Struthio camelus: one gene and its partners. The protein of the gene in region 2 purifies or fractionates together with the protein of the main gene of each other region. This does not show direct contact. Links are inferred from orthologs where the notes say so. Each region holds a gene or a part of one and is shown on either strand. Other genes may lie near its edges.

What was found.
Region 1: the proteins of MARCHF5 (region 2) and MFN2 purify together in Homo sapiens (affinity purification with mass spectrometry; 5 studies listed by BioGRID and IntAct, counting the BioPlex papers as one, with this or other methods). This does not show direct contact. The link is inferred for Struthio camelus from reciprocal best matches to the Homo sapiens genes MARCHF5 and MFN2.
Region 3: the proteins of MARCHF5 (region 2) and MFN1 purify together in Homo sapiens (affinity purification with western blotting; 4 studies listed by BioGRID, with this or other methods). This does not show direct contact. The link is inferred for Struthio camelus from reciprocal best matches to the Homo sapiens genes MARCHF5 and MFN1.

Annotation. Positions count from the first base shown.
Region 1 is NC_090962.1:6,947,123-6,956,628, reverse strand, and holds the start of MFN2 (mitofusin-2), read right to left. Parts: upstream 3,939-9,506; 5' UTR 3,875-3,938; intron 3,844-3,874; exon of another isoform or gene 3,748-3,843; intron 3,493-3,747; exon of another isoform or gene 3,481-3,492; 5' UTR 3,329-3,480; intron 3,044-3,328; 5' UTR 3,040-3,043; coding exon 2,865-3,039; intron 2,184-2,864; coding exon 2,048-2,183; intron 1,685-2,047; coding exon 1,522-1,684; intron 972-1,521; coding exon 847-971; intron 553-846; coding exon 444-552; intron 347-443; coding exon 239-346; intron 1-238. Other genes in the region: PLOD1 (procollagen-lysine,2-oxoglutarate 5-dioxygenase 1), read right to left, coding at 5,999-6,154, 6,320-6,445, 6,740-6,886, 7,297-7,401, 7,753-7,818, 8,098-8,211, 8,749-8,890. UniProt on the Homo sapiens protein: Mitochondrial outer membrane GTPase that mediates mitochondrial clustering and fusion. Mitochondria are highly dynamic organelles, and their morphology is determined by the equilibrium between mitochondrial fusion and fission events.
Region 2 is NC_090948.1:18,852,075-18,862,530, reverse strand, and holds the start of MARCHF5 (E3 ubiquitin-protein ligase MARCHF5), read right to left. Parts: upstream 3,837-10,456; 5' UTR 3,554-3,836; coding exon 3,510-3,553; intron 1-3,509. UniProt on the Homo sapiens protein: Mitochondrial E3 ubiquitin-protein ligase that plays a crucial role in the control of mitochondrial morphology by acting as a positive regulator of mitochondrial fission and as an important regulator of immune response.
Region 3 is NC_090950.1:24,790,389-24,799,915, forward strand, and holds the start of MFN1 (mitofusin-1), read right to left. Parts: upstream 4,474-9,527; 5' UTR 4,447-4,473; coding exon 4,424-4,446; exon of another isoform or gene 4,099-4,423; intron 3,348-4,098; coding exon 3,226-3,347; intron 2,592-3,225; coding exon 2,456-2,591; intron 2,092-2,455; exon of another isoform or gene 1,988-2,091; intron 437-1,987; exon of another isoform or gene 258-436; intron 1-257. Other genes in the region: ZNF639 (zinc finger protein 639), read right to left, coding at 8,416-9,527. UniProt on the Homo sapiens protein: Mitochondrial outer membrane GTPase that mediates mitochondrial clustering and fusion. Membrane clustering requires GTPase activity. It may involve a major rearrangement of the coiled coil domains.

The DNA of each region.
Region 1 (9,506 bases), on a different chromosome or scaffold from region 2:
TCCAAGTGAGGTAACCTCAAGAGATCCCTGTGAAGCTCTTGGTTTCCAGCTGAGAAATGTCAAGAGTCCTGTTCTGACCACTAGCCTACACTCTCTGTAGTCTCCACATTACAGTAGTTAACATCTAAACCGTACAACAACCACATCTAACAGCTTGTGGTTCTACCCACAAAGAGCAGAGTCAAAATGGACTCTATAACGTTCATGCAAAAAGAAGGACTTTAAACACACCACAAACCTCTTCCATGTATTCTGGTTCAGAAGCAGATGCATCCCAGCGGTTATTTAAGATAAATATATTGGGTCGAGACAAGCGTTCATTCACCTTGTGGAAGAACTGTTTCTCCTAGGCAAAATGGAACAAAACCTCTCAGACTAACATGTCAAAACGTTTAGACTTTTAGCCAAATTCACCGAACATTAACAAGAGGACTTGAACATACAGTTTGCATCAATGTAGATTCAGAATTTGCCACAAGGACAAATACATCAGCATCTAGACAGAACTTGTCAATCCAGCTGTCCAGCTCTGTGGTTACATCAATGCCAGGGCTAGCAATAAAAGGAAAAAAAGACATTACTACGCTGTGGAAACATCAGAAATACAATTTAAACACAAACAAGTAGAAAGAAAACACTCCAGCTCTTCAGGCATTCATTTCCCACGTCTGAGCTACGCTGGGTTCTGAGGTGATAAAGAGTGCCGACCAAAAGGAAATAAGAGTAGAGAGAAACCCTGTCTGTTAATTACAGACAGGGTCAATTTCCTTATGTTTGTTACATTTGTATTTGAAGACTTTTTTGTACTAATGCTGTGATAAGCAGGAAAAGAAAGATATCTCTCACCTGTCCATCAGCACCAAGTCATCCTTTAAGAGAGGACATTTGGAATTGGGCCACATAACACTGACTAAACTGCCAGCATCCAGAAGTTCATCTTGATGAAGAGCGTGAGCAAGTTGGTTTACGGTCTGTTTAAGAGATGGACAATTTATAACTTTTCCTGTGTGCTAAGACATGTTAACACAATTATCTCCCCATCAGAGCTGTTCACGGACAGTTTAAAAAAAAAAACAAAAACCAAAAAACACAGCTTTAGGTCATTTCCAGAAGATATAAAATGTGCTCAAGTCTCCTACTCAACAGGCAACCACCTGGTAAAAGTTTGATACACTTTCCTGTCAAGAAAGGCTACTGAAGAATCCTCAAGAAGGCTGTGACTTCTGTCAGTCAGTCAAAGCTTGGAAGAACCTTCTGGGTCATCTTCAGTTCCCTGCTATCACTGACAACTATATCATATAATCCATAAAATGAACAAGTGGCATCCTATAGCTTGCTCTACTCTTCCTGTCCTTCTTATACCAAAAACCTGTTCTTCAGCTCTTCTCTTTGAATGATAAAAATCCTTAACTGTGAACCCAAATTTATTCCTAGTCATTTAATTGTACTGTTCCTTTTCTGCCACTTTTAAGAATGGGGACAGAGCTCTCCTCCTTTATCTTAGGCTTAACAGAGTTGTACCTTGACGCTCTTCTTTTCTTCTGAGCCTTCAGTAAGCAGGAAAGCTTCATGCCCATCTGTTCCTTCTACACGCAGGAAACAGTTTGTGGTGTGTCCAATCCCTGAAGGAAGGACTTTATCCCATAGCATGGCATTTATCACAGTGCTTTTTCCGTTGCTTGTCCTGAAGGTAGATTAAAGAATGGTATAGATGAACTTCTGAGATTCAAGTATACTCATTCCGATATCAAAGACAGGAAGTTCTCAAAACCTAGCCAGTTCCAGAAGCATTAACAAATTGCGTGCCATAGGCAACTTGCAAAAGGATCACTCCATTTTCTTAGAAATTCTCCAAATTGAGTATTGTGTTTTACAATATTTTTTTTCCGATTTACAACAGGACTAGTACCAGGGACTTCTGCCACACGTTGCATTTCAGAAGCTGGATCACTCGTGTTTCTATAAATATTTTTACTGGCTCTGATCCTAAAGATGCCAGTTGCTGTACTGAGGATGGCAGCGTAGGCAACATGAACACGTGACTTACCTTCCAAAAAAAGCCACTTTCATGTGTCGCCTTGCCAGCACTTCGCTAATGCCACTGACTTTTGAGAGGTAACCTTTGACTTCCAATACCTGCTCTTCTGTGGTGACAGGGTCAAGCTCCACATTCCTGTGTGTTTCTAAAGAGTCAAAATACACCATGCCTCAGAATTTCAGAAGTAATCCACCTCAGTACTCAGTGAAACACCTCTGTATGACTTAACACATGCAACTAAATAGCTGCATGGGCAGCCTTGAAACATGCAATCATGTCCCGAAGCAACTTTGCATCAGCATTTATCAGCTGGAAACTTTTGTATTTCTAATAGGGATTCACACCCTTAAGAGTGCCTTAAACAGAAGGGAGCCAACATTTCAAACACTCCATCCTCCTTAAATAATCTGCTGCCTGGGTTTTAAGCTGTTAAAGTCAATTACTGGAATGCATTACATGCCACTAGCAGTGACACCGAAAGGATTATAGAACATAAAACCTAAACGACTTTGAATTTTCCATTTAAAAAAAAATTCAAAACAACATAAAAAACCCCAAAAGGCAGCTAACATCTTTATATGCAGTTCCACAATAAGCATAAACTTAAGTGAGCTTTAAGACAAAGTCCGAGCTTCACTCAGTAGAATGATTTTCTCTCTTTCACGTAAATATTTGCATACAAAGGTGTACACGTGCATAAATAAAAATAAGAACAGGTCTAGCCGTGCCATTTAACTAAATGAATCTTTTTTGGTGTGCGTGCATGGGGAATTACTGAAATAGTCAAAGCTCTCTTACAGAGCTGTAGTTCAAAAATATAGCCTACCTTCTAGGAATGAGGAGCTCTCATTGATGTATGCAGCCAACTGCTCAAAGATACCGTTGATTTTCTTCTTTGCAGTGACAAAATGTTTAAGCGGAGAAGCATTTACCTCAGCCATGTGTCTTTTATCCTTCTTCACTGCAACAATTGACTTGGAACGAGTAAACAACAGGGACATTGCGCTACAGGGAAAAATCCAGTAAATAAAGGTAACTTGCCAAGGGTCAACTGCTATTTAACTAAGCCTCCATCGTTTTAAAAAATTAAAAAGGCAGCTGTCTACCAAGAACTAGATAAATATGTATTTTAAAGAAAGCAATTTTTCACAAACAATTTACCCCATTTTCTGCCATTAGAAATTACTCCAATACCAGAAAAAAAAATACCAACTCATGTTTCCCTCTCTCTTCCAACAGACAGGCCCACAGCCCACCTCAGCGATGACGTCCCCCCTGCGGCCCGCTTACTTTGAGGGTGAGAGCGACGTTTTCACAGCTCCGGCATGGTCCGCGCCGCTCTGCCTCGCGCGTGAACGATCCGCTCCTGCCGCCCCCCTCTCCCCGGCCGGACCCCGTCCTGCAGCTCCTCCCGCGGCGCCGACTCCCGCCTACCCCCGTCCCTGCAGCAGCAGAGGGGCCGGGGCATAAGGCGCTGGAGTAGCCCAGCGCCGCCCGCCATCGCCGTCTCCTCAGGCCTCACAGGGCGGGCGGCGCGCGCCGGGCAGTGCCCCCCCCCCCACACGCTCAAGGGCGGGAAGCGCGCGCGCCCCCCCCTCCCCTCCCCTCACGCGCCGGGCAACGGCGGGAAGCGCGCGCGCCCCCCCCTCCCCTCTCCTCACGCGCCGGGCAACGGCGGGAAGCGCGCGCGTCCGCCCCACGCCGCGCACCTCTGAGGGAAGGCAAGACCCCGCCCGCCGCGGCCGCTGCCCAGCGCGGCCGAGAGCCTCGGCGCAGCCAGCCCCGAGCAGCACCCGCCGCCGCCCACTTCCCGTCAGGCAGCGCTCCGCCTCTCACCTTCACCGTCTCTCCCCCACGGCCGCCATCTTACCCCCACGGCATCGTCACCAGAGACGCCGGAAGCGCCTAAACGTCATCGCCCGGCGACCGGCGGGAGCTTTCCCGGCGCATCACGGGAGTCGTAGTCCCAGGCCGCGCCCCTCCCCCATCCCCCGCGAAGGCTCACGGGAGCTGCAAGCGGCGACGCCGCGCCCTTCGCAGGCGCCATGACAGGACTGAGAGCTACTGCGCACGTCAGCGTTTGGTCATGGTTTAATGTCAATTCTCCCGCTTGAAATTGTACATCTCGTGAGAAATACCAGAGCACAGGAGAGCCCGAATTAAATTCCCATCGCTGTACTGGGCAGATTAAAAACACAACTAAATAAGTGGAAAAACCTGCTGAATAAATACATACACCTTTTCAACATCTTCTCGCTAAAAGGCCTCGGCGGTCCCTTCCTTTGGTAACAGCATGCAAGTCACTTGACCGGGATTTCAGTAACAAGAATTGTTAGTTAGCTTAATTTTTCACTTTACAAACTGATTGTCCACGCCTGGAGTTTTCTCCCTTTGGTGTGCATGAGTGTGTAGCGTTCGAATAGACCTAAAAAGCACGTGGAAAGCAGCGGAAAAGGGGCTGTGTTGCTTTCCTGGGGTCCGTTCAAACTGTGTAAGATTCCCCGTCCACACTTAGCACGCCTAAAGCTACGAGCAGTTCTGCCTGCGTTAACGTGCCCAGTACTAGACGAAGCATCTCTACACCTGACAATCAAATTAGATGGTAGAGTCCAGAGGCAGAGATAACTTAGAGGAGGAAGAGGTTTTTTTTTTTTCCTCCCTAAGAACAGTTTCTGATATTAATTTACTGCTTGCGAAACGTACTAGTCTGGCAGACCCAGAAAATAAAAAGTTTCTAAGAGGCAGAGCTCATAGACGACAGCAGAAAACGTTTCTCCCTGTTCCCCCTCCAACATGCATAAACCGTGACCTCTATTCTAGACAGATTTTTATACCCATCAGTCCACCACAATCTCATAGCGCTTTCTAATCATACACTTCTATCACCCTCCACCCCACCGCAGAAGTATCTACAGTGGAGTGTTTTGTTGGGGAACTTCAAGCGACGGGAATACTGAAAATTTATCTCCTCTAAGTACCAGAGAACAGTTGTTTTCCAGTGATGGCCCATTCGAGTTAGATGCAAAGAAAATTATCAAAACAAGCACTAAGAGCTGGAGTGAGGCCATCAAAAACCACTGGTGCCTCTGGATTGTTATCAGATGGTTAGAGATTTTGACAAACTTAATATGGAATAGAGCTGAGCTGATTCAGCAGTAGAGCCCTCCCGGCAGATCTAGTTATTCTCAGTTTTCCCTTTTTTAGATTTTATCTACACATACTGACCTGATCTGAATTTGTCTGGGCATACAGGCTCCCGTCTAGCTGTGGTAGTAGAAGATAGGGAGGCTATTTTTTTAATCTCCTCAACCTAATCCCAGAGGTAAAGTATAATAAGCAGACCTTCCTTTAGCTAACAGGAAGCACCTAGATGGCCACTGCTGCCGCTTTGAACTTCATGATACATTTCCAATGAATGCAAAGAGGTAAGGAATCAGATGAACTTCAGGCTCTTACTGCTGAGTTTCATCTGGTATTACATTTAACTGTTATGACTCCTGGAGCCAGCGCCCTGATGATTTTCTATTTGGAACAGTGTCCAGAAATGATTCTCTAATGTCCATTCCTGTATATGCAGTGGATGGAAATGGGCTGCCAGCTACTTGGAGAGAGAGCTTGTGACTTGCCTCCAAAAAGCTGGATTTCCAGTCCAAGAAAGCACTTCTGTAAAGCCACCCGAGCAGTGAAGTTTCAAGTAAATCGCATTTCCAAGAAACAGTGGATGAGGAGCAGAATCAGAAATGAAGGCACAAAATCTCCGTCCAAATTCTACAAAAACGTTCCCAGATATTACCTGCAGAGAGGGAGATCTTCCAGTAGTGGAGTCTTAAAATATCATTAAAAACCAATATCCAAATAGCTTTGATCAATGCCTTGGAGACTCTCAGCAGCATTCCCTGCTTCCACTCAAAGTCAGCAGTGAGTGGGGCCAGGGAAAGGTCCTTCTTGTTAGGCATAGCTCTAGGGATCAAGAAAGGACACTGCGATATAACGAGTCCCCTTGGTGGTAGGAAGGCCTTCATGATAGTGAGTCAGGCGTCCTGGATGCATAAGGGTCCAACCCTTTCGTGGAGCTCGAATGGAGCAATTGTAGCGCAGGAAGCGGCAGCCTCCTCCCTGGGAGAAACAAAACCAGAGAGCATCAGTTTGGTAAAAGCGGGTCAGGGAAAGGATCTCTGCTTTCTCCTGGAAGCCCTTCTGAAAGCATGGGAAGGTGCTTGGGGAATCTCTTGCCGCAGGTATTCAAAAATCTGCTGTCCTAACCCAGTCAGTAGCACTTACCTCATAGTCTATTCCAACTCGGTTCAGAGCAATGTTAATGGTAAAGGTGGAAGCGTCATGATGAGGCACTAGAGAGGGCTGCTCATCAGGTTTGTAGCGAACTACAAAGGCTAGCTCAAACTGAGTCTGCAGGGGAGAAGAACAAAATAAACACACACGTTACAGGGCTGTATTATTCCATAGCTACTGAGCTCCAAGCATGGTGTAACATTTAAATTGTATTTCACTGCCAAGAGAGAAGAGACCCAGTAAGTCAGGAGAACGTCCTCACAACATCGTGTACTTCCTGATGCATATACTGATGTTATACTGCAGCGTCAGTTCCTCCGTACTGGGAAACAGTATGCATATCGACAGAGGATCCTAGGGGCCCTTTCCTTTACACAGTTGCAGTAGTAGGAGGTGCCAAGGTATACCTACCTTGGTATAGTATCCTGGGTACAGTTTCTCCGTGATGGGTGCAATATAGTCCAGAAGAAACTTATACCACTCTCTTTCAAAGCCAATTTGGTTCATGTGGATGTCAATAGTTGGGACATTCTCATATCCCCCTTGTATTCTGCTGTCCTGAAATTGAATCATCAAAATATCCGTGAGGATGGGCACCTTGGACTTCAGGTATGACAAACACTTGTTTCTGGTAATTACCATTAAATATAAGATTTCTTCATGAGGCTTTTCAGGATGGAAAACTCATTCCAAACATTAATTAAACCCACAAGACAGACAATCAGACTACCAGAAGGGCTGAACATTGTAGCTTCAGAGGATACTACAGAGGACTCAGAAAAACCAATTCACATATGAGAACATGTGCAAAATCACACAGTTAACCAGGAGCAAAATTAGGACTACTGCCTCCATTTTCCCAGTTTAACTGCTGGATCTAAGGCCATCTTAGAGGAGACGCTATTGCCACCAAATACTCATGGAAAATGATGTGACCTAGAAGTCAAGAAACTCCTGCTTTTTCTTACCGTATTGTCACCTGTGGACCACTGGCCATAATGTTCCATTTCTTCCACCAGCTCATCACATGCAGCCTCAGTGAATATGGGGAACCAGTAAACATCTGGGCAGGGCTGGAAAAAAGTGGACAGGTGAGAATAGCAGAAACAAGGGCAGGTGCTTGAGAGAAGAGGAAATAAACCAGACAGATGGTAGATAGGGTCAGATTAAGTGGAAAATAACTACAATATTGAAGACAGAAATTTACCTTCTGATTCATGTGCCCTGCTTCTACTTAAAGACAGCTGAACAGGTACTTCTGAAAGAATGATTTGGCCCTAAAAATACTTCCAGATGAAACATGACCTTGAATCTGAAAGACTTTGAGGTAGTGCTGAGCTGCTTACGTCTAAGACTGGTGATAATACAAGCATTATCCTGATGCTAATCTGCCATTCTGATGGATAAGAGCAATGTTTTCTTACCACTTCCACCAATTTCCCTTTCAGAGCTGCTGTGTAGTTTTCATGGATGTACTTTTCTCTCCAGTCCTGCGGTTAAAAGATAAGCAAACTAGTCATTTTTGTACAGCCTGGCTAAAGAGGCAATGAAAGGCCAGGCACTGCAGCAGCAGTGTTTCACAGGCTTTGGAGATCTAGATGTTGTTACAAATCACATAAACACCCTCCCTTTAAATTCTGTGACTGTGCTCCTCATCCCACCTGAGAGACATCATACAACAAAGCCCGGACCTTCCTTATCAACGAAGCTGATCATCAGATCTTCACATCCCACAATGCTCGGCCTGCTGAGCGTGCCAGTTATCTCACCTCAGGATTGCTGAATATTTGCCAGAGGTCATTGTGGAGATGAGTTGTCTGATAATTCTCCAGAGAGAGTATGTGTCCAAACTGGTGCCGATTTGTCAAGTACATGAAAACCCCCTGCAGGAAAAAGGGAAACAATCAAACCGTGTTTCCAGGCCTCACATTCCGGTGAGCCATTATGAAATACAAGCACTGGACCAGTGATGATGGCTCTAAGCTGTTTATCTACTCATTCTTTCTCCCATGGGCCTCACTTTAGTTTCCACCCTGGATATGAGGAACTCTGAAAGCAGCCAGCAACTCTGGCTCTGAAAGAGCCAGCAATCCTGTGCCTCTCATCAGCCACGGATGGAAGCAGAGTAGAGCAGGTGCCCTAAGATGAGCTTCTTCCTTCTTCTCCTGCTGTCCCCATTTAGAACAGCCCTGAATAGGTCCAAGAACAAAAAGGTGATCAGCATTTAATGGTTCCTGGCTCTGGGTGGTTTCACAGCAAGACAGAAATCTCACACTGTTCCAAGACTGCAGAGGATCAAGTAACGCCAATGCATCCTGTCCCATGGCCTGGCAGACACGAATGCCTTGAAACCGCTCTATCTTGTCACCTCCACTGTGGCATGCGGTCCTCCACTGCCAGCCTCTCTCTCCTCAACTGACCTGATTCCGAACGTTGTGGCAGAAAGCCATGTCAGCATCCAGCTTTCCACTGTGGAAGAGATCTCCCTGGTCAAGCTCTGATCGCAGAGTTTTGGCTTTAACCATGTAAGCGCCACTGATATAGGGAACGTTCCAAAGCCCGCTGAAACACAGAAGTAGGAGACTAAGACATGAAATAACAGCAAGAAAGAAACTGCAGGACTAGAGGGGATGGCAGGCAGCACTGCAACATCAGCCAGGCTAGCCGAAATGAGCCAACTCAGAACAGTACGGAGAAACGATACCAACAGGAATTCTCATTCCAGGAAAAATCAGTTATATTGCCAGAGCTTCTAAGCAGCACAAATGCTAGTCTGCTGTGAAAGCAATTAATTGCTACTGTGTGTTTCTGTTAGGGACATAGCTAATGGCTTGAGCCTCTTCCCAGAGAGACTGACATTTTTTTTTTCTAACGATTTAAAATAACTGAACCAGCCAAAAGTGCATAAGCTGATTTCCAGCATTTATTGTGCATACACTGACCTAAAAAAAAGGGCTCCTCAAGAATATAAATGAAACAACAATACTATTTTGTGAATCTCTCATCCAAGGATCACCTACTGTTTTATGAAGACTGATAAAGGCTGGAAAGCTTTTAAGGGATTTTAAGAATCACGCTAACTATAATCTGCAGGTGGGAAATTTCAGCGGTCAGGACTCTCAACCCCTTACTCTGATCATCAGGAAATCTGCCTGAAGTGCGTACGGTCTCTGGACAG
Region 2 (10,456 bases):
GAGAAGGTTACAGAGGGATGGAAATCTCAGTTTTGAAGCCAGAAAGGATGATGATAATCATCTAGATTAGTTGCCTAAATACTGCAGGCCACAGAACTCCAGAAAGTGGTGCAACTTGATGGTGATGTCTACTTACGCCTCTTGTATTTATGCTGTAGCCCATCTTTCAGATAAGTATAAAATCACTAGCTAGATATTTCAAGTAAGAAACTCAGTTCTTTTGACAGGCCCACCTTAACAGCTATTAACCCTTTGTTAATAATGTGTTGTTTGCTTCCAGACTGAAATTGTTTAGTAAAAATAAAGCAAGAGAGAGCACAAGAGATATGAAAGAATGATGAATCCTAGGCAACAATTTTGAAGTGCTATCGAGATACCCCTTACACTGGAGAAATCCAAACTGCTTTATTAAAAAAAAATAGAAGTCATACACACGTACAATCTAAGAGTCAAGAGAAGTCAGAAGTTCTCTTGGACAAATAGATAAAGAATTTGGTAGGAGAACTCCAACTCTTGCATACAAAACTCCGCATACATTCAGATCTGCAGCAACACCTCACTCTTGATACAACAGGAAATCACAACTCTGTGTTACCACCTAGATACTAAGAAAGAAAATACAATCTTATTTTTTTTTCCTCCTAATGACTTAAATCTTGGTTTAAAAAAAAGTCCTATTCACTGAAATGCTGTTTTGTGCATCTTGCACAGAGATATGAATCTGATTTAACAGTATGTGGTTTGTGTGAAATTATAATCCACTAACAGCTGCTTTTAAGCTTTTGCATATTTTTTTTTCCTACTCAGGAAAACATCAACCTGTCATTAGCAATAAAGATAACTGGGTGGAGAAAGAGGCACTGCAAACCTCTCAGTAGCTTTACAGAGGATCCTTCCGCAGGCTATGCCCCTTAATGGGAAATGTTGAAGGTTTATCTTGATGATCACTAAGTACAACATGAAAGTAGTTATATGTGATTTTGAGAAATACCAAACGAATGAAAATTGCTTTCTAGTAATGTAATCCCTCTCCCCTAAACCCAAAGGGTAACAGAAAAAAAAAAAAAAAAACTTGCACTGACTCTTTTTAGAGGCCTCAGCCTGTACAGAATACAGTATTGTACTGTATTCTGAATTCAAATCCTTAATAGCTGGCTCCTTCTTACTGCTCTGTTCACTGCTTCCCACACTATTGCTGCTAAAGTCTCTTAAACTGAGCCCAACAAATTCTTATACAAAAGCTCCAGTCTTTCTTTTCACACCTTCTTTCATGCTTAAAACTCTTATCTAAAACTTTTTCCTCTACTGTCCTTGTTGCCCAGGAAGTCAGGTATGCTTTCAATTGCTGTATATTATCCAATCTGTTATTCTAAGTTTACTGGAAAGTGTCTTTGAAAAGGGCCAGGTATATGCACTGCAGTTTCACAGAGCTGAAAGAAAGGATTAAGAATATTAAATACACATCAAAACCCACATACCCACTTGGCCTAAGAATTAAAGAGCGGTAAACTGGTTTGGTGACTACTTAAAAAGTTTCACTTTTTTATTAACTATTCATTCTAAGTCTGTCACGACCTTGTTCTTTAACTATTTCCAATGTGACACTTGGTTTTAATAATTTTTAATACAATTTGTTGCAATAGTGTCAATAACGGTACTTTTTCTGGTATAGGCAATGCTCTAGAACCTCTTTGAGGATAGAAAGAAAACCATACACACAAAAAAAGAAAAAGACACTTTTAAAGCGTAAAGTCAAAAAAGCATCAAAAATATCATGGAAAATATTATATTTTTGCGGTCTCCTGCATGTCACAGTCCCAAATGCTGATGCAAGCAAGCATCAGCGAAAGGCTTCTATTTTATTAATTCGTGTCAACTATGTTGCATCAACTTGCTGTTCACAACGCATTATGAATACTACCTCACAGTTCCCAACAGGCTAAACTAGGACTTCATGATATGATACTATAATCATAAACAGTGGGACACCCACTCAGAATATTGCCATTTCCCAGGCCTCTAAAACCTAGAAATCGCATATCATCAAGAGTACAACACTTCAGAGGAAGATGAAAATTTTAGTTGCAGAGAAGTTGATTCAGCAACACTCTTCCTGATCTTTTTCAAGAATTTTTTTTTTTTTTACTTCCTACAAAATGATTCTACCATCTTCTTCCCACTTTTTATTTTTCTTAAATCCCATCCCCTTTATTCCCTACATTCACAGGAAATATGCCAAACTGAATACTTTCCTGACAGTATCTCCAAAAACCATTCAAATCCTGCAAAGACATTTAGTCTCCTGACTGCTAGCCTCCTTGACAGGCATCAGTCTAGATTATAACCTAAATCATCCAGTTTTTCCTCATGCTACTCTAGTTTTTCTAAAATATAGACAATCAACTTTCTCTCTCTCCCTCCCCCCGCCAACTTACTTTTATCCTCTATCTACATTAAACTGAAATTCCTCATCCTCACCTTCAAGGCTGTACACAGCTCTGTCCCTGCCTCACATAGTTTACACTTCCATCACTTGCCTGATGATAGTCTGTATTTCACTAAATCCTCTTTCCTTAGAGGTGACCTAGAAAGAAGAAAAACACTGGGATTTTTTTTGCTTCCTTATGATGAAAGCTTGGCAGGTTCATCAATAGAGATTTCATTCCTGTTGGGTCTCCACCTTCTGAAATACCAGTCTATCATACCTCCTGCAATAACATGCCATCAACTCCTATTTGCTGTTTATAGGGTTAGACTTGCAGGGCTTCCTGGATGACTCAAAACTGTACACTGGGAATCTTCAACCCTCAGTAGAATAGAGTGAAAGTGCCACATATTCAAATAAAAGCATAAGCAATAAGTATGTGTAGTAAAGACATCTTAAGAGTAGCTAAACATCAGTCCTCACCTAGATTTAAGTCATATTAGTTTATCTTAAGAGTCTGTACTTTTTTTTTTTAAAGCTGTGCTCCAAAAGGCGCTTTTACACAAAACAACAGCAGAATACACAAGGCCAGTTAATCTTACCTTCTCTTTTGCTGTCTTACCCTACGTGCATCTCAACGCTGTCTATACCTACAACATCTCCTATACCCCCAGGAGCTGTACAGCCTTTAGCGCCCCTTCACCACCCTTCCAAAAAAGCCGCTTCAACCTAGACACACCTCCTCCCACCCAAACGCTTCCGAAGGAAACCCTTCCCACTCAAACCACCACCCGGGGGAGGACAGCGGTGCCCGGCTCCACGTTGCACTGCTTTATGCCCGAGCTCACACCGCTTCGCCCGGATCACCAAAGTTTCCCGAAGCCGAAAAGTGAAACCAGACGCGCGGTCCGGGCCCAGGCCCTTCTCCGTCGCCACCGTGCCTGGGCCGCCCGCCAACGGCCGCGGCCCGAAGCGGCGCACCGAAACACGCCGCCGCCCGCCTCCCCCAGCCCCACGGCAACCACCCCGCCGGGAGCCGCGAAGGCTCCTTCCCCGCTGTGTCCGGCCCGGCGCTGCCCCGTACCTGTCCATGGTCTGCGGCAGGGCCAAGCCCGTCTGCTCGGACATGGCTGCCGCGAGGCCGCGCTTCCGCGGCGCGGGGAGGTGCGGGCCGAGCCGCGGGCCGGCGCCTGACAACGGGGGAGGGGAGGGGGGGGCCGCAGGGGCGCGCGCGGAGGGGGCAGGGCAGGGCAGCGCGGCGGTGCGTTGCGCAGCGCAGCCGCCTTCCCGCGGCCGCCCCTCCCTCGGCAGGCGGGGACGAGGCGTGCGCGGGGCCGGTCGCCCAGGCGGGACGGGACGGGACGGGGCTGGGCTGGGCTGCGCGCAGCTGCTCTCAGCTTGGGCCGCCGTCGCCGCCGTGAGGGGAGGCGGCGACTCCTCTGTGAGGTAAGAGCTAAGCGGCGGCCGCGACACCTCCCGCCCCTCCGCGCCCCCACTCGCCCCGGTGCGCCTGCGCCAGAGCACAAGCCGCGGCGCCCGCAGCACGCTGGGAAATGTAGTCCTGGCGCCTCCGGGAGATTTAAAGGTCCCTTGGGGCGCGCCCCCCTCCCCCGTTTTCCTCTCCTGCTGTCGCGCTCCCCGGCCCTCCCTATGCCTCTCCTCGCTGCCGCCGCTGAGTAGCCGCTGCCGGCACCGCGCGCGCGGGGCAGGTAGGGGACGTGGCGACAGGGCGGCCGCGGTCGTGTGAGGGGAGCGGGAGGGGGAAGGTGCCCCCGGCCCGCTCCGCTCCGCTCCTCCGGGGGCCGCGCGGGGTGGGCGTTGGAGAGGGAAGCGCCCTCGCGCCTCCGCCCGCCGCCTCGCGGCGCGGCCGTTGCCCTGCGCGGCCCCTCCCCCCCCCCCCGGCGCGTGAGGGGAGGCAGCGCCGCCGCCGCCCGCCTCGGCCTCGCCCAGCCGGCAGGTGCAGGCGGCGGCCCTCGGGCCAGCCCCGGGGCGAAGGGGCCCCTGCAGGTGCCTGGTCACCCCGGCTGGGCTGGCGAGGAGGGCGGGGGCTGGCGCAATGGGAGGGAAATGAGCCCGTTTCTGTGGGTGTGTTGGCAGTGACGAGGTAAAACGCCCTCTTGTAAAGTGGCCCTTGGCACTTGGGGAAGGCCCGGCAGCCTCTGAGCCCCCTCTGGGAGTGAGCGGGGTGAGGGGCAGGGCGGTAGCGTGGTGGTAACCGTAACTCGTTACTTCAGTTTGTAGGCGTGCTTCCTAATGGGGGGCGGGGGAGAGCTTCTGAAGTGCTTTTAAAATCTGTCTTATGTTCTAAAGTTGACATACGGCATCACAGCCTAAGAAACTGGGAATTTATAATCTGAAAAGCGTTTAGAGAACAAAGAGGCAGATGGTGCCTGGAGAAAAGTTATGTCCCTCCATCTCCACCACGGGTGCGCGATGCCTCTCTTCCACTCCTCTCAGTCCAAGCGTAGCTGATTTGCTTGTATGTAAAGGTTCTGCGTTATGTCATGTTCCCCCAGCAAAGGATGATGTCATGCTTTCCAAAGACAGTTAAAACATTCCAGATTCTTGGGAAGCTTGGTTAGTAAAGATCCACTGTGGCCTTTCCTTTTCAGGTTGTATGATTTATATACATATTTTTTTAATAACTAGGCCTTGTAATGAATTTTGTTACATGTAACAAGTCCCTGATACCTTGTATAAATTATAATCTGGTTATACTGCAATTACTGCACAAGGTGGTAGTTTAGCAGGCCCGCCCCACAGGCAGACAACCACATCAACATGCATCTGTTTTTGGTTGAGACAAGTAGCATTTGCTTGGTGGGTATACACGGCTGTAGAGATAAGGTAGAATAGGAAGCTGATCTTTAATGAATATCCTGAATTGTCTGACCCAGATGCCTTAAGCTATGGAAAAATCACTCTGAGAGTCTCTGGGGAGAGAGGTGTTGTAAAAAGGGTTGTAAAAAAACAAAGTATTGCAGCATTGTCAGATTACAGAATAATATGTATGTAGAAGTTGGTTACACAGTTGGAGTCCCTCAACTAAGAATGCATTAGACCTGAGTTTATGTACGTTATTTTAAGCTTCCACCATTATTTTGGGTCTGAGCTTATCCTTCCCAGATCTTATTTTCCATTTATCCTTTCACACCTTGATTTGGACTTTTAAGCTGTGCTATATGTATGGATTGGGTGTGGGAGGGGTGGGTTGTTTGTTTTTTAATTACTAAGTACCATAAACGGAAATGCTGAAGTAGTTACGTTGAGGTAGTTGTATTTTATTGGAAGTATGTACAGAAGGAGAAAGGAAGAAGACGTCAAACTGACATCCTAGAAAATTTATTTGGTGCCTACTCTGAGGACAGTAAAATTCAATTTTGCTTGCGCTGCTAAGAAGTCTTGGGCATGCGGTGGCCTGGATACACCATACATGGATGACTTCCTGGAAGAGAACCCAATACGCACTTTGCCTATTAGTCATACAGCTGTTTGTGAGATAGAAGAGGAATATTAGATATCCGAGTTCCTGGTTTCTAATCTTGGTCTGGAATTAGTGTGTTGTCTGTTGACCAGAGCACTGATCAGACAAATACTTTGGTTTTATATATTTATCCTCAAATGTTACAAACCGGACATAAACCAGGGAGGCTGGCTTTATTCCTACGGTTATGTGATTTGTGTAATTTCTGTATTTCTGTTTTGGAGGTTGGAAGGATATATTAGGTGCCTGCTGTCTAGGATAAAGCTGTGAGGTCATGATCAGTAATAATGGCTGTGAACAATACTTACCTGAAGAAATGTAACCAGAACCCAGGATTACTTGGCTACTATATGAGGCTGAAGAGTAGTCTTGAGGAAGCAGGCTCCTTTGCTCTACCACTGGCATGTAGGGAGGGATGACAAGACTGGACAAAACTTGAATATCAGGTCAGATGGTAAACACCTAGCAGACTTGTACATCATATTTTTTGCAACCTTCAAGCATAAAAAAAATCAGACCTCAAAACATCCTATAAATAGCTTAAAAATCGTGAAATATAAAAGCTGATTTATGCCTCCATACTGTTCCAGGGTTTGTTGCGCAGCTAGGGGTATGCATTCTCAATTTGTCTGCTCATCTCAGAATCATCAGAAAAAAGTGTGATATGAAAACACATAGATAAACACCTGGGTCTACACTTGGAGAGAACCCTCCTCATTGCCTGACAGAGCAGGAGTTGTCATTCCATCCTCATCTCTTCCCCCTAGCAAGACCGGATATGCAGCTGCTCTACTCAAATGCTTTCTTTATTCTCCCCAACAATCTCCTACTTCAATTCACTTTCCCTCCCTTTTTCTCTTCCTTTTCCTTACACTTTTTATTCTTTATTCTTCCTACTTTGCATTGGCAACTTCCACTATAAAGCTCAGGTTGCCTCTTGCTGCTTTTGCAATTTTTGAATTATTGCTTCCCATATTATTCCCTAATAGATTGCTCTTTCTTCCTTCTTTCTGTCTCCGAGATGTTCATTGCACTGTCTCACTCTGTCCTCTCTTGTCTAAACCTGGTAGTAGCTGCATTTGAGCCCAGTTAGACGCAACTCTTCTGGGAATAGACTCCCTTTTGCCAGTGCAAGTGAAGGAAAATGATTGCTACTAACTGAGATTAGACTGAGCTCAGCCTCACTGATACTAACAGGAGCTGGCAGCTATTTTGACTTAAATAAAACTTTCCCTTAGAAGGCAGGTATGGAACTTGATGAAAACCACTAAAAATAATATAAGCGATTTAGCACTTTAAAAATTGAGCCCTGAATTTGTCTATCAGATTTATAAGTTGACAGGTCATCTTTTAAAATACTAAATTGTTTGGTAACAAACTTATTCAAATTTAAGTTTAATAAAGGAGTTTGTAAGCAATTAATGTAAGAATAAATATGGAGCTAATATTAAATGTTTACCTGATCATTTCAGCAAGGCCTGAAAAAGAGGCTGAATAATGAAGTAACAGTTCCTTAATACAGTTCTTTTAATGTGATGACACTGAGTGTGCCGGAATTGCTCACTGTTTTCAGCAAAGTGAAGTAACCAGGCAATATGAAAGTATTTATTCTCTTTAGGCAATACTCCATTTTAACTGCTAGGATAGCAATGTATAAAATAAATGACAAGATCAGTTAGGCATTTTATATCTACTTAACTCCATCATGAAAAGACAAGGAGCCCTCAGTGAAACTAAAATGAAGCAAATCTAACCTGAGAAAGATGCTTATATAATAAAACTCAGTTTTTCAATAACATAATGCTTTCTTTTAACCTTCAAGCTAGTTGAAATGTTCACTTTCTGGTAAAAAGACTAGCAAAGGTTGTTACCCATAGTAGGCTTAAATTACTTAATAATGAATTTCAGGAAATAAGAATATACTGAGGTATTTCAGAGAATAAAAATACATTGAGTTAACTTGGCTCATTTGGGCCTTTCTTACATTTGTTTCTTTGGAACTTGCCCAGGTCAAGTAATTCAGATATCAGATTGAATGAAGCTCTCGTGTTCTGATATAGCTGTTCTTATTATCTTTTTAACTTTCAGTTACTGAAGAGTTAAACTGGTAGGAATAAAAATTGTTTTTCTTCTAGTGGCTACTAATATAAAAAACCTGCCTTTACGCCCTGACTTTCTTGGTTATAAAGTGCTTTTCCATTTCTGGATGTATAGTGAGCCCTCTGCTCATCTTAATAATTAATCTGCAAAGTGAAGCTGTCACCTGCAAAAACCTGATAGCAAGGCTGTGGTCCCTTCCACATGCAACCTGAAATCATCTGAAAAGCAATAATCCAGAAATAAAAAAGGGACATAAAGGAGCGGTATTCAGTGAAGAGAGCCAGCCCTGTACTATCTGGGATATTTCAATAAATGAGGAATTCTCAACTGCTGTAAGAAAGCAGTTTTCCTGGCCCTTAATGCTTCAGAGTAGCACAAACAAGTCAGAGCAAGTGTTGAGAAACTCTTAATTACAGCATTGATTCAAGGCAGGCAGACCATACAGTCCAACATAAACAGACTGTAGAAAGCAAAGACATAAGTTTTTCAGCAACCTGTTTTCAACTCCCTTAATTTCTTTTTCTCGGCTTTAGTCATCTCTCTTTCATCTGTAAAGCAAAGTATATTTCGTCCTTTGAACAATCGGCATACAATTTTATAGAACGTTAATGTTTTCACACTGCTGATTTCAATTATGTAACTTCCATACAAGTGTAAGCGCTTGGTCCGGAATAACCAGAAACTTAGATATTCATGTATAAGACAACAAACACGTATGTCTGTAAACTAAATTCTGAAAGCTACAACCTGACCTATATTGATCATCAAATCATGAGGAGAGGAATGATGAGAGGAATTCCTTTCAGGCTGTGTAGCTGTGTACTGAAGTAGAGGCTGGAGATATGTGGATTGTGGGTCTTGGAAGGGAGGCAGCTAAAATGAACTGCAGGGTACAGGGCAGATGGAATGTTAAATAGTAAAATTTCCACTCTTTTTTTTTTTTTTTTCCTCTGTAGGTTTGCCAGGGTATTAACAATAATTAGGAACTGAAAAGTGGTAATTTGGAAATCTGAAACTATTCGTATAGCACAAATTAATGCCTATGTGCTAATTTTTATTTGTTTAAAAAAATTACATGCCCTATTTGTATATGAGCTTTAGAGTATGTTTTTAAAAACGATACTATGACAGGTTAATATTTTCTTCAGCTAAGAATCATGACACAATCTCATTTCTAATAGCTGTAATCTTTCTATAGCTGGTATAAGTTATGATTAATTTATTGTGCTAGAATAGTTTGGCTAGTGATTGTTGTTCTAACTAGGTAGCTATTTGATCTGGGTTTATAAATTAATTAAACTATTAGGAGCTCTTATTTTATTATTGACTTCCAGCTCAGTCTGACAGTTATTTATTTTCCGAGCGCTAGTAATTCAGACTGCAACACTTTTCCCTGGAGAGAGAGAGAGAGAGTGTGTGTGTTTGTTTGTGTATTTTTTTCTTTTCGAGCACTCTTCCTTTCAGGTCGCTTGTTCTCACCACAGACATCAGGGAAAAGCTATATGCAGATAAGACTTCAAACCCCATAATTCCTTGGGAGAGCATGCGCTGTATCCTTCCAGTTGTCAAAGTGCTCTTGCCAAAGTGGTCGCCTGTTTGTCGTATACCAAACCCGAAAGAGGGAAATAAACACACTCTCATTTTATTGATCTTTAAATACAGAAAATCCAAAGGTAACTGTTCCTTAAGAATTTCTGCGTTGACTGCGTGGGTTACTGCACGAAACGGAGCGGTTATTGCTATGGGGATATAAATTTCCTGTACTGGATTGTAAATTTGCACAAGTACTTACACCAGCAGATAATCAAGAGGTACTGCATATTAGTCCAACATTAGACATTGGCTGGCCTGTCTTTCAAAGTCATTTATTATCCAGTGTTTTTCCATTCAGACTGGCTTCATTCATTAAAGGTAGGTCTTGACCTTGGCAAGAGGGTTGAATTATGCAGAAATTTTATCTTTAAGAAGTAATATGAAAACGAATGTGAACTGCAGTCCTCAGGATAAAGTTCAAAAACAAATAGCTAAGTCAAGGTACATATTTGAAACAACTGCTGCGGTAGCAACTATAGATAATTTGGTGACTGACTGATTTAAATATACTTTATTGACAACAGAATGTTAATGTTTCAGCTGCTATGTTTTTCTCTCTCTATATATTTTAATATTAATGTCTCAGAAACTGGGGAGGGATAAACATTGTGTTTTTTTCTCTGATGTGGAATCATTAGCAATTTTATGCAGCCTTAGAACTAAAGGTGATTTTGATAGAAATGCAGCTAATGGAAAGCTACACAGAGCTTGGAGTATTATGGCTTACTGCAGTGTCGCTTTAAACTGCCTTGCAAGGTTTTCTGCACCCCCAGCAGCAGCAGCAGTGCTGCCCTTTTCAGTTGCAATAGTTTATTCCCCTCTTCTTAGGAACTTGTCGTAATGCTGTCTCACTA
Region 3 (9,527 bases), on a different chromosome or scaffold from region 2:
GAAAACGTACGTAGCCTTTTGGTCAGAATTGCTTTGCTCAGATAACAGTTCCACATTCCTGCCGATGACAAAGCTAAAGGAAATTTAGGGATGCCAGAAGAGGATGCAGGAGAAGTCTGCATGACTGAGGGCAGAGCAAGACTACCCTCCGTGGTAGCAATCAATATTCAGGCTGCTTAAACAATCATGAAACTACCATCTCGAGTCACTTCGCCTACTCTTTTCAGAGAAACATTATTGGGTCTCTTCCCGCCACAACAGAACCACTAGTTCTGATACAGTCCTCCAAGCATGAGATGCGGTGCAAAAGGAGTACGGTTAGTAATGCCTTCAGCCACACGTCAAAGCATCGTTATCTGGGAATTCTCATCACTGCCAACGGTGACAACTCGGACCAACTTAACGGACGATATCCTCAACGGAATGAAGATTTCCACTGAAAGATGTGAAACAATCGCAAAGAACATTCAAATTTATTTCTTGTACATAATCCTCATAATGTCAATGCTCTCTTTAATCATGAGATTCAGTCTTATCCTCACTTTTGAGGAAAAAAATTAACCAAATTCTTAACTAAATTAACTAAATTCTTGTCGATTAAGCGGAACTGTTCACCAACTCAAAACTCTGTAAGAGCTTCCAGTTAATTCTCAGCAATATCCTACCTTGCACTAACCTTTTACCCCCCACCCATAAAGATTTGCAGCTTAACTATTACACAACAGGGTGCAGTGAACATACATCGTAATTTGGTTTCTTCAGCTACTTCTCCTGGAAAAGCAGTTTAGTGCTCACTATACGATAATTTAAAAAATTATTCCCAACGTCTCGCTCCAAAACTTTGCGTTGGTCTGGGGACAGATCTCCAAGTTAAAGTTGAATTAGTTCTCTTTTCCCTGTGCTGAACTCCTGCCCGTTGCAAAAGCAACTTTTACCAGGAATCATAGCTGTAAACGCATTTTTTTTTTTACCTCTGCGAAATGTCAAGGCTCAGATAGAATCACTTCCTTTATCACAGGTCCTTTTACTGTTTATTTTTAATAGCTGAACTATTGTTAGCAAAATGAAGGTAGCAAGACCATCATTGTACACATTTCTTTAGTACTATTAGGGCATTTTTAAAATTAAAACATGAAGATCAGTTTTGGAGAAAGACATGGGGAAAAAGCAAAACAAAACACCTTAAGCATAGAAATAGCAAATGGTCTCAGAGCAAATGGGACTAAGAGACACCAGACTAACCAGGCACGTAAGCCTCTGAAAGCACTGGAACCTTAGTCTTTCGGAAGGACTTAATTACTCGATATCTCACTTCCCATTTAGTAATGTGGATTCCCAGTCTATTTCTACAGCCTCCAAATTCTGTAAGAACATCAGAACACAACGTCTGGATTGCAGACGTTAACCGGAAACGTTAAAACCCAACTAAAGCTTCCCATTGAAAACTTAAAACTGTTCCATAAAGATCAGACTGAAAAATAAAGCACAACACGGCTACAACCAAAGAGACATAGAACCTTACTGCTTTGGGTCTAAGTAGCCAGCAGCACTTCTTTAAAATATTTTAATTTTTTATGTAACAACATATTTTTTGGGTGCAACAAACACCTTACTTTTTAACTCCATTTGCCTGATACATAAATAAAAAAATTAAAGATTAGATGATCCAAAGCTAACCTCAGTTAAAAACTTTCTAATTCTTAAAATATCTTTTTTGGAACAGAAGGGAATTTAAAACGCTCAAAACTTTGGAAGTGTTACTTAAACATGTAAAAGATGCAATAGTCTGCGGTAACAGTACCAAGGTCTGAACTAGAACTTCTCCCAGTCAGTGATACAGAAGAGCCTAACTTCATAGCTTCATAACTTCATTCAGATTTACGTGTACGCCAGTAATATATACGTCATCCCTAATAATCATCACAGGGATATAGCAAACTAATGATTAACAAGGCAAGTTTCTCTAACTTTGTTATCAGTTGCTTACACGTGGAAACAAAAGCAGCCCAAAGAGTAGTTCTTCCACAGTTGCTTGTGATCAAACACCAACCACAGTTCTTATAAACAACAGTCCAGCAAAACAAAGATACTAAAACAAACAAAACCATCAAGTTAAAATAAACATTCTGGAGAAGAAAACAACAATCTTAGACCCTCCTCAATCAAATCGCAGATCTACGCAGAATAATTATTTTATATAGTTTATCAATGACAAACACGTAACAAGATGTACGTAATTAAGCTACAGTGTTGGAGCAAGATGGCATCAAAGAAAGATTTAGCACCAATTAGCAAAATAACATGTTTTAATATATAATGTTTTAAACAATAATTTTTTGAGGAAACACTAAAGCCAGGGCATAAAACTTAGAAAATACGGTCACTAAGTCCTGCATGAGGGGAAAAAGGAATAAAAAAAAAAAAAAAAAAAAGCTCTGATAATTTTATCCATTACCTGCCAAAAAATGCCACTTTCATGTGTCTCCGTGAAAGCACCTCACCAATGACTGCTAGCTTATCCTTATATGCCTGTATCTTTGATAGTTCATCTTCTGTTGCTACATGTTCAAGCTCTGGGTTCCTGTATGTTCCTAGACATACAAAAAGAATAGCACAAAAGCAATCACATACAGAGTACATGCTGCAGGATACAAGACACAGATTATCAGTACTTCACGTGCCAACATAGAGCTGTCTAAATTTTAATTATACAACTGTAAACAAACTGAACCAAACAAAAAAAACACATCAGGGCTAGGCTCTCTCCTCCTGTCAGGATTAACCTGCGGGATGAGCAGCCAAGTTGGCTTGGCAACACATGCTCCTCCGCACTACTAACACTTCTGAGGGTGTAACCAGTGCTCCGTTGTGCTCTGACAAGCTGACTGACTTTTGTACTGAATTTTGGGAGAACCTGTCTGGTCCCTTGTCTGTGCAGAAGAAACTGCACGACTGCTAACACTGACTGCGGTCAAGCCTTCACCCTCGCTGCAAGGAGGCTAGGCTACCAGCCCAAATAATTCCCCAGCCTCTCGTATATGTAACCAGCCTAAGCGTTCCAGCTTGCCCAAGTTGAAAGCATCCAACTCAGAGGAAAAAAACGCAACTTTTCTGGAATAAGCTGACACGTACGGCATATTAACGTGTATCATTATGCACGCTGTGCTACCAGAAAGCGAATTCAAAGCAACAGACAAGGCCCTTGGGTTTAAGAGGAAAACTAACCTTCGACAAAAGTTGCTCCTTCAGTGACATAGTCCAACAGCTGGTCAAAGATAGCAGTAATGGTCTTTTTAGCCAGCACAAAGTGTTTCAGTGGAGACACAGCAGGTTCTGCCATTGTGCAACTGTCGGGAAAGTTACATAAAAGTCACTGCAACACTCAGGACACCAACAAAAGCGAAAAGTCATGCAAGGTCTCACACAGTAAACGTTTAAGAAAATAAGTACAATGAACGCTAATAAAAGTTAATTTACACTAATTTTATTATCCTGACAAACTCTTACTTTTCCCTAGTCACGGCGGGGGCGGTGGGGGGGGGGGTTTACAAAAAACAAGTCTACGAAGACTAAGTTTTCCTCTCTGGTTTCTCACAACACCAAGAACACCCTACTTCGCCTGCTGGTATAAACTTTAACATTTAAAACATCGGCCACAGCACTTCAAATCCCCGGGTTAGTTGCAGCCAATCTTCAAACACGAGCTCACCTAGAAAACTACCCAGCTGGAACTCTACCTAAGGAGCAACGTTTCGCCCCAGTTTCCAGCCGGGTGCCGGCACCACACACCCGCGCCGGCGGCTTTTTTGCCTTTTCCAGCCCAACACGCGTCTGCCCCCGCCGCCGCGCGCCCGCTCCAACGGCCTCTCCTCGGGGCGCCGCCGCCGCCGGGCAAGGGCGAGCTGCCGTGCCACTCCGCAAAGCTCTTTTTAGCATATATATATATATATATATATATATTTTAAGAACCTTCCCCGCCGCGTTCAGACACTCCTGTGGCGGCTCACGACAGACTTTGTACCCTCTAGTTTTCCTTTCCAAACCCAACAGCCTTTCTTCCCCCCCCTTCCCTTGCTAAAACCCGGCCAGCTGCCTCACACCGTCGCGCAGGTCACGGGCTCCCCTCGCGCAGCGCACGGGAAAGGCCCGGCCCGGCCAGCGGCTCCGCTCGCCGAGGGCAGGCCGGACCGGCGGGACGGTGTCGCAGCGGTCGCCAGGCCGGGACGCGCGGCGGCACCTCACTTACGGAGCGACCCGCTGGCCCCGCGCGCGCGCGCCTCCGTCACCCGGCAACGGCCGCCGCCGCTCCCTCCTGCTGCCGCTGCCCGCCGCCGGGAGGGGACGCGACGGGACGGGACGGGACGGGACGGGACGCGACGGGACGGGCGGGCGGGCGGCGCTTCCGCTTCCGTCTCCTGCTCACCCTCCTCCCGGCTCCGCCGCCATTTTGGGCGGGAGCGCAGAAGCCGTCGCTTTCACCGCGGGCCGGAAGTGCGTAAGGGAGAGGGAGCCGCCATCTTGGGCGCGGGCAGCGGCGGCGTCGCGGTGCTTGTGAAATGGAGGCGGGGGCTCGCCTGTGGCGGTGCAGGCTGCCGCGCGGGGAGCCCGGCCGGGCGGGCTGCAGTGCACGCCCTCCCTTCGCCTTCAGCCTAGCTCTAGGACTTCCTCACCCCTTCAGAAATTACAAGCGGGACCGTGTGAAGAGATGAGACCATCTTAAGCTCTCTACCCTTCCCGCCCATGGGGAGGCTCGGCCCTTTCTGTCAGAGCACCCCCGACGCTGGCTGCTGCCTGGCCGTTTGTCTACCGGGATGGCAGCTTCACTTCATGGACGTGCTGTTTATTTAGGTGCAATCCGAAGTAGGTAGGGCTAACACTGTTGTTTTAATTAACAAACATTTGGAAGAGGAGAAGCTGCTTGAAGTACCAAGCAACTGTTTGGAAAAGCCAGAAGTAGACCGACACAGCTGTTACAAGGCGCTGCGTGATGCAAAACACAACATAAAACCGTAGCTTCAATGAACTGAAAGTCTTTTATACCTAACGGTGTCCTGCGCTGCTCATAAGCAGCTCATAAGCTTTCTGCTCCTCCCAGTTCATATCTAAGATTGTAAACACTCAGCTTCCAAGCCCTTGAAAGTTGTCACAAACATCTAAAAACATGAACCATGACTTTGGATTCCTGAATACTGTCAGCACCACAGTTTAATCAGTCAGCTGTTAACTAAAACGACAAACGCTAAAATACTTTATAGAGTTCAAAAGCACTGATAATTTATATATTGGATACATCACCACGAAAGAGCACAGGAAAATGAGAACCACAGAAAACCATGAAAGTCTACAGCACTTAATAAGCATTATGGAGAACACATCATTTTAGAATTACTAATGCACTGTATCCTAAGTTCCTGCAATAATTCGTTGGTTTTTCATTTTGTTTTCAAGTCAGCAGAATTTTTCGTATAAAAAGTTCTCTTGTTTAATAACAAACATGATCCAGGAAGCTAAAATACACAACAGTTAACCTAAAGGCTCAAAAGCCTGAGGACAAAGAACCAAATACAAGTTATTTCTGAAGCCAGTCTTGTGATTCTGTAAAGCTTCCAGGTAGAATGCTGCTACTCAGATAGCTGCACCTTGCGGGTTTCACTGGAGCAAGACACTCAATTTGACCCACTTATTTACCATCTCAGAGAAAAAAAAAAATATATGGGCATAATTCCCTTCTGACTACCACAGGTAATTTCTCTAATTCAAGACCAAGGAGAATTGCTCAAGCTGTAAGAATAAAGACAATGCAAGTCTCTGGCAGTTATCAGACCAGCAGCATTCAAGTCGTCTTAATTCACCTTAATGCAGACACCTCAGAACACTGTCCTTTCACTTAACGCATTTCCTGTAAATAAACCAAACCTCTCCTCTTTAATTCACAGCCTTTACCTTGTAAACTCCTTCAGCGGGGAGCAACAGATAGTCCTTGACATGTACAACCGTTCCTCTTGGCCTCCCAACTTCTAGACAGACTTAACTCTTATTACTTGTTTTTTCTACTACACACACTGTCATGTTTAACATGCATTTGGAAGCAAATATCCTATTTATGTTCTTGCTAAGGTAAAATGAGGCCACCTGCTCATGTAAACTCCCATTTACCTTCTGCAGATATTAAAAGAAAAAAAAACTGTTCTCTTATTTATAAAATTCAACCTAAGACAAATTTCAATTTCATATATTTGCTAATTAGACACCGTGGTGGTTTTTTGTTAGGAACAAGTGGTCTTCACAACATTCCTATGACGTATTCTTTTAATTCCCATTTCACAGATTAGAAACGGACGTAAGTCAACAATTAGAGGCACGAAGCTATTCAGGAGTCAAGGAACTTTTCCGCATCACAGCGCTCCACGGCGCCTACAAAACTCCCTTTCCTGGATGGGACACGCTAAAGCCCAGTGTTCTCTTGTGCCTTCCACAGTGCGGCCCCTTCTTAGTGTCAGTCTCCGAAAAAAAGTGGCTTGCTCTCCAGTGTTCATCAGTGCCGTTCCACCTGTGTGTCACCAGGAGCTGCTTGTAAGAGGAGGACTGGCATTCGCCCCTCCTCAATTATACCAAGATGAGCAAAATTAACTTTCCATATCCAAATTAGTTCTTATTATTACTTTGTTAACTAGGTTATTGCTACCATAGCAAGCCAGCCAGGATAGACGTGTTCAAAATAGGAAGCTAGCAATTCTACAGACACTGTCACTGTCTATAAATGGATTAATAAAATACAATCATTGTGGGATCAGGTTGTTCTTTTCAATGACTACACAGAAGATTCAGTAGCAAACCAGCATTTCCAAATGATGAAAATGGTCTTGCCTCCTGCAAAGCAACATACGCTAACTGGCTCATGTTAGACTGCAGAAACACTTCTCGAGAAACTAAACTTCCATAAGCTGACTGAATTTAGCCAATTTTTATCCCTACCTTTAAAAATCCAGTGCAAAGACCCTTACACACCTTGCTGCTACTAACACCAAATCTCCTTGTTCAAGAAATGTTTTATACATGATTTATACAAAGCTTGCATTAGACAATCTTCCATACAAGTTTACAGTCAATACAGAAAGACATTGAAATTCCACCACTTACATAGGGGTAATTTCACCCCAATAACTACCACAATCTAAATGATCTCATCCTTACTATCAGCCCAAGCATCAGTCACTCAGAAATACAGCTACAGGATGAAGCTTAAAAATTCACTTTTAAAGATTATAATATAAAGACAGTACTATTGAATGTGATGTGCAAAATCATTTGAAAATGATTAAAGTTAACAGAATTTATGTACTGTGCCGGGGCTTTAAACCAGTACATAGGATAAGTTTAAAATTTACAGAATTAAAATACCTGTCCTCCAACTACCAGCGGCAGAAAGCTAATCACAAAGTAACCGAATTATAATAGTATAAACAAATAGAGCCTTGCTCTAAATGAGGTTGCTGACATACACCCTTTTAGCGAGAGCTCAATTACGATTTTACATGCAAAGACCATGCTTTTCGTACATTCTCAGCTGGATCACTTGGCAAATTCCCTTACAATGGCGCCTTAAAACCTGACCCGACCTACAGGCAGGCCACACATCTCATTAACGTATCAAAAGAAAGATAAGGGCTGAAGGTAAACGAAGGAGACAAAAACAATAGGGGAAGTCTGTTGTAAACGTGTGGGAGTTGATGAAGCACTAGAAGGTATTGCTGGGCGGTTCCACAGACAGATGTCGAAATTAAACACTGCACAGAGAAAGACAGGAAGCAAAACCACGACGTAGGACAGGTACTCCAAGGAAACAGGTCAATTTTGAAAGCTTATCAAAAGCAGGGGGTGGGAAATGCAGGCTAACATATGATTTTAGAGACTGCGTGCCTGGGAATTTTTACGCTTATCTTCGGCCGGCCAGTGCAATTTGCTAGACATAAGCACGCTGACCTGCTGCTGCAGAGGGTAACATGAGTTCGGTGTGCAAGTGAACGCTATGGCAAGCACAGTTACTTAAGCGTGAAACTAGCTGTTGGCTTTCTCTTTGTCTCTTTTTAAAACTCTTAAGAAAGCAGCTCTTTAATATTAAACATGAAAATACAGGATGACCTTCAGAACAGCTATTACAACAGGCAACTACTCCCACTGTCCCTCCCCCCAGCATCTGATCCATCACACTCTAAATGCGATTATTCCTACGGAAACCCCCAAGTAAGAAAATTCACAACGCCAAGTTGTCATACGTGTTCTGTTGATACAAAGAGCAAGCGTGAGTATTTTCCACTGTACAATCGCTGTTAAATTGTATTTAACTTCACATTTTAGTGACTGACTGGAAAGAATTCCCATTCTAACGAATCGATTACAGGGAAAGAATGTTAATTAAGCTGTCTCATGTACCTGAAGGTGACTTAAAAGATCTTTTTCATTTCCAAACCTCATTAAGCAATCGGTACATTTATGAGGTAAATCGGCTGAATGCCTAAAATCCAAATGAGTTTTAAGATCTTCAATCTGTCCTGTTGAATATTCACAGTATTGACACAAATAAATCCCTTCAGATAAGTGAGAGCTTAAATGCTTGCAATATTCCAACATACCTGAAAAGCCCTTCCCACAGTCATCACAAACATGAGGGAATATTTTGGTGTGTTCAATAGCTACATGCCTGTTGACGTTTGTATGCAGCCTGCTCCTAAAGCCACACACTTGGCACACAAAGAAGTTTTTGCACTTGTCAAAGCTGATTTTGTTTATGAGACTATACTGTCCACGTTCTTTATTGTTATAGCTGTCGCTTAACTCTATCAGTCGACATGCATGTTCATTCACCACGTGGCTATGCAAATCTTCTGGATCATTTGTTTCATGCTCACAGAACTGACACAAATACTGCTCGTCACAGCTGTGCTCCTGGAAGTGCAGGTACAACTCACTGCTCGAGGAGAACTGCATATCACACTGCTCACACCAATAAAGGTGGTCATTGAAGTGAGTGTCTGCTATGTGCTGACTTAGATTCTCAAAGATTACTGTTTTGTAATCACAATATTTACAGATGTATGGATCCTCCTCGTGTAGTTTCACGTGTTCAATAAGCTGCAATTTGCTGGAGAAACTCTCCTTACAAACTTTACAGACAGGAGTGTCTGTACACGTTTTATGCTTCAGGATCATGTGCTGCTTTAAATCAGAAAAGTACTTGCTATTAAACTCACAGAGCTCACACTTATATAAACCACTGCTGTTGGCTCTCAGCAAAGGCCATTTCTGCTGAGCTGTGATATTCAAAGCCTGGTTCTTCTCAAAGATTTTACAGGTTTCAACAGGGATTTCCTCTAGGTCCTCAGCTTCTAGCTTCTCAGGTGAAACAGTTTGCGTTTCTATATCGTGAACTTCTACAGCATTAACCTCTGTTGTAGAAATTTCTACAGTTTGAATATCAAGGGGTTTCTCTTCTTCTGTAGGGCTGTCACTGAATATAGGCGAATCGC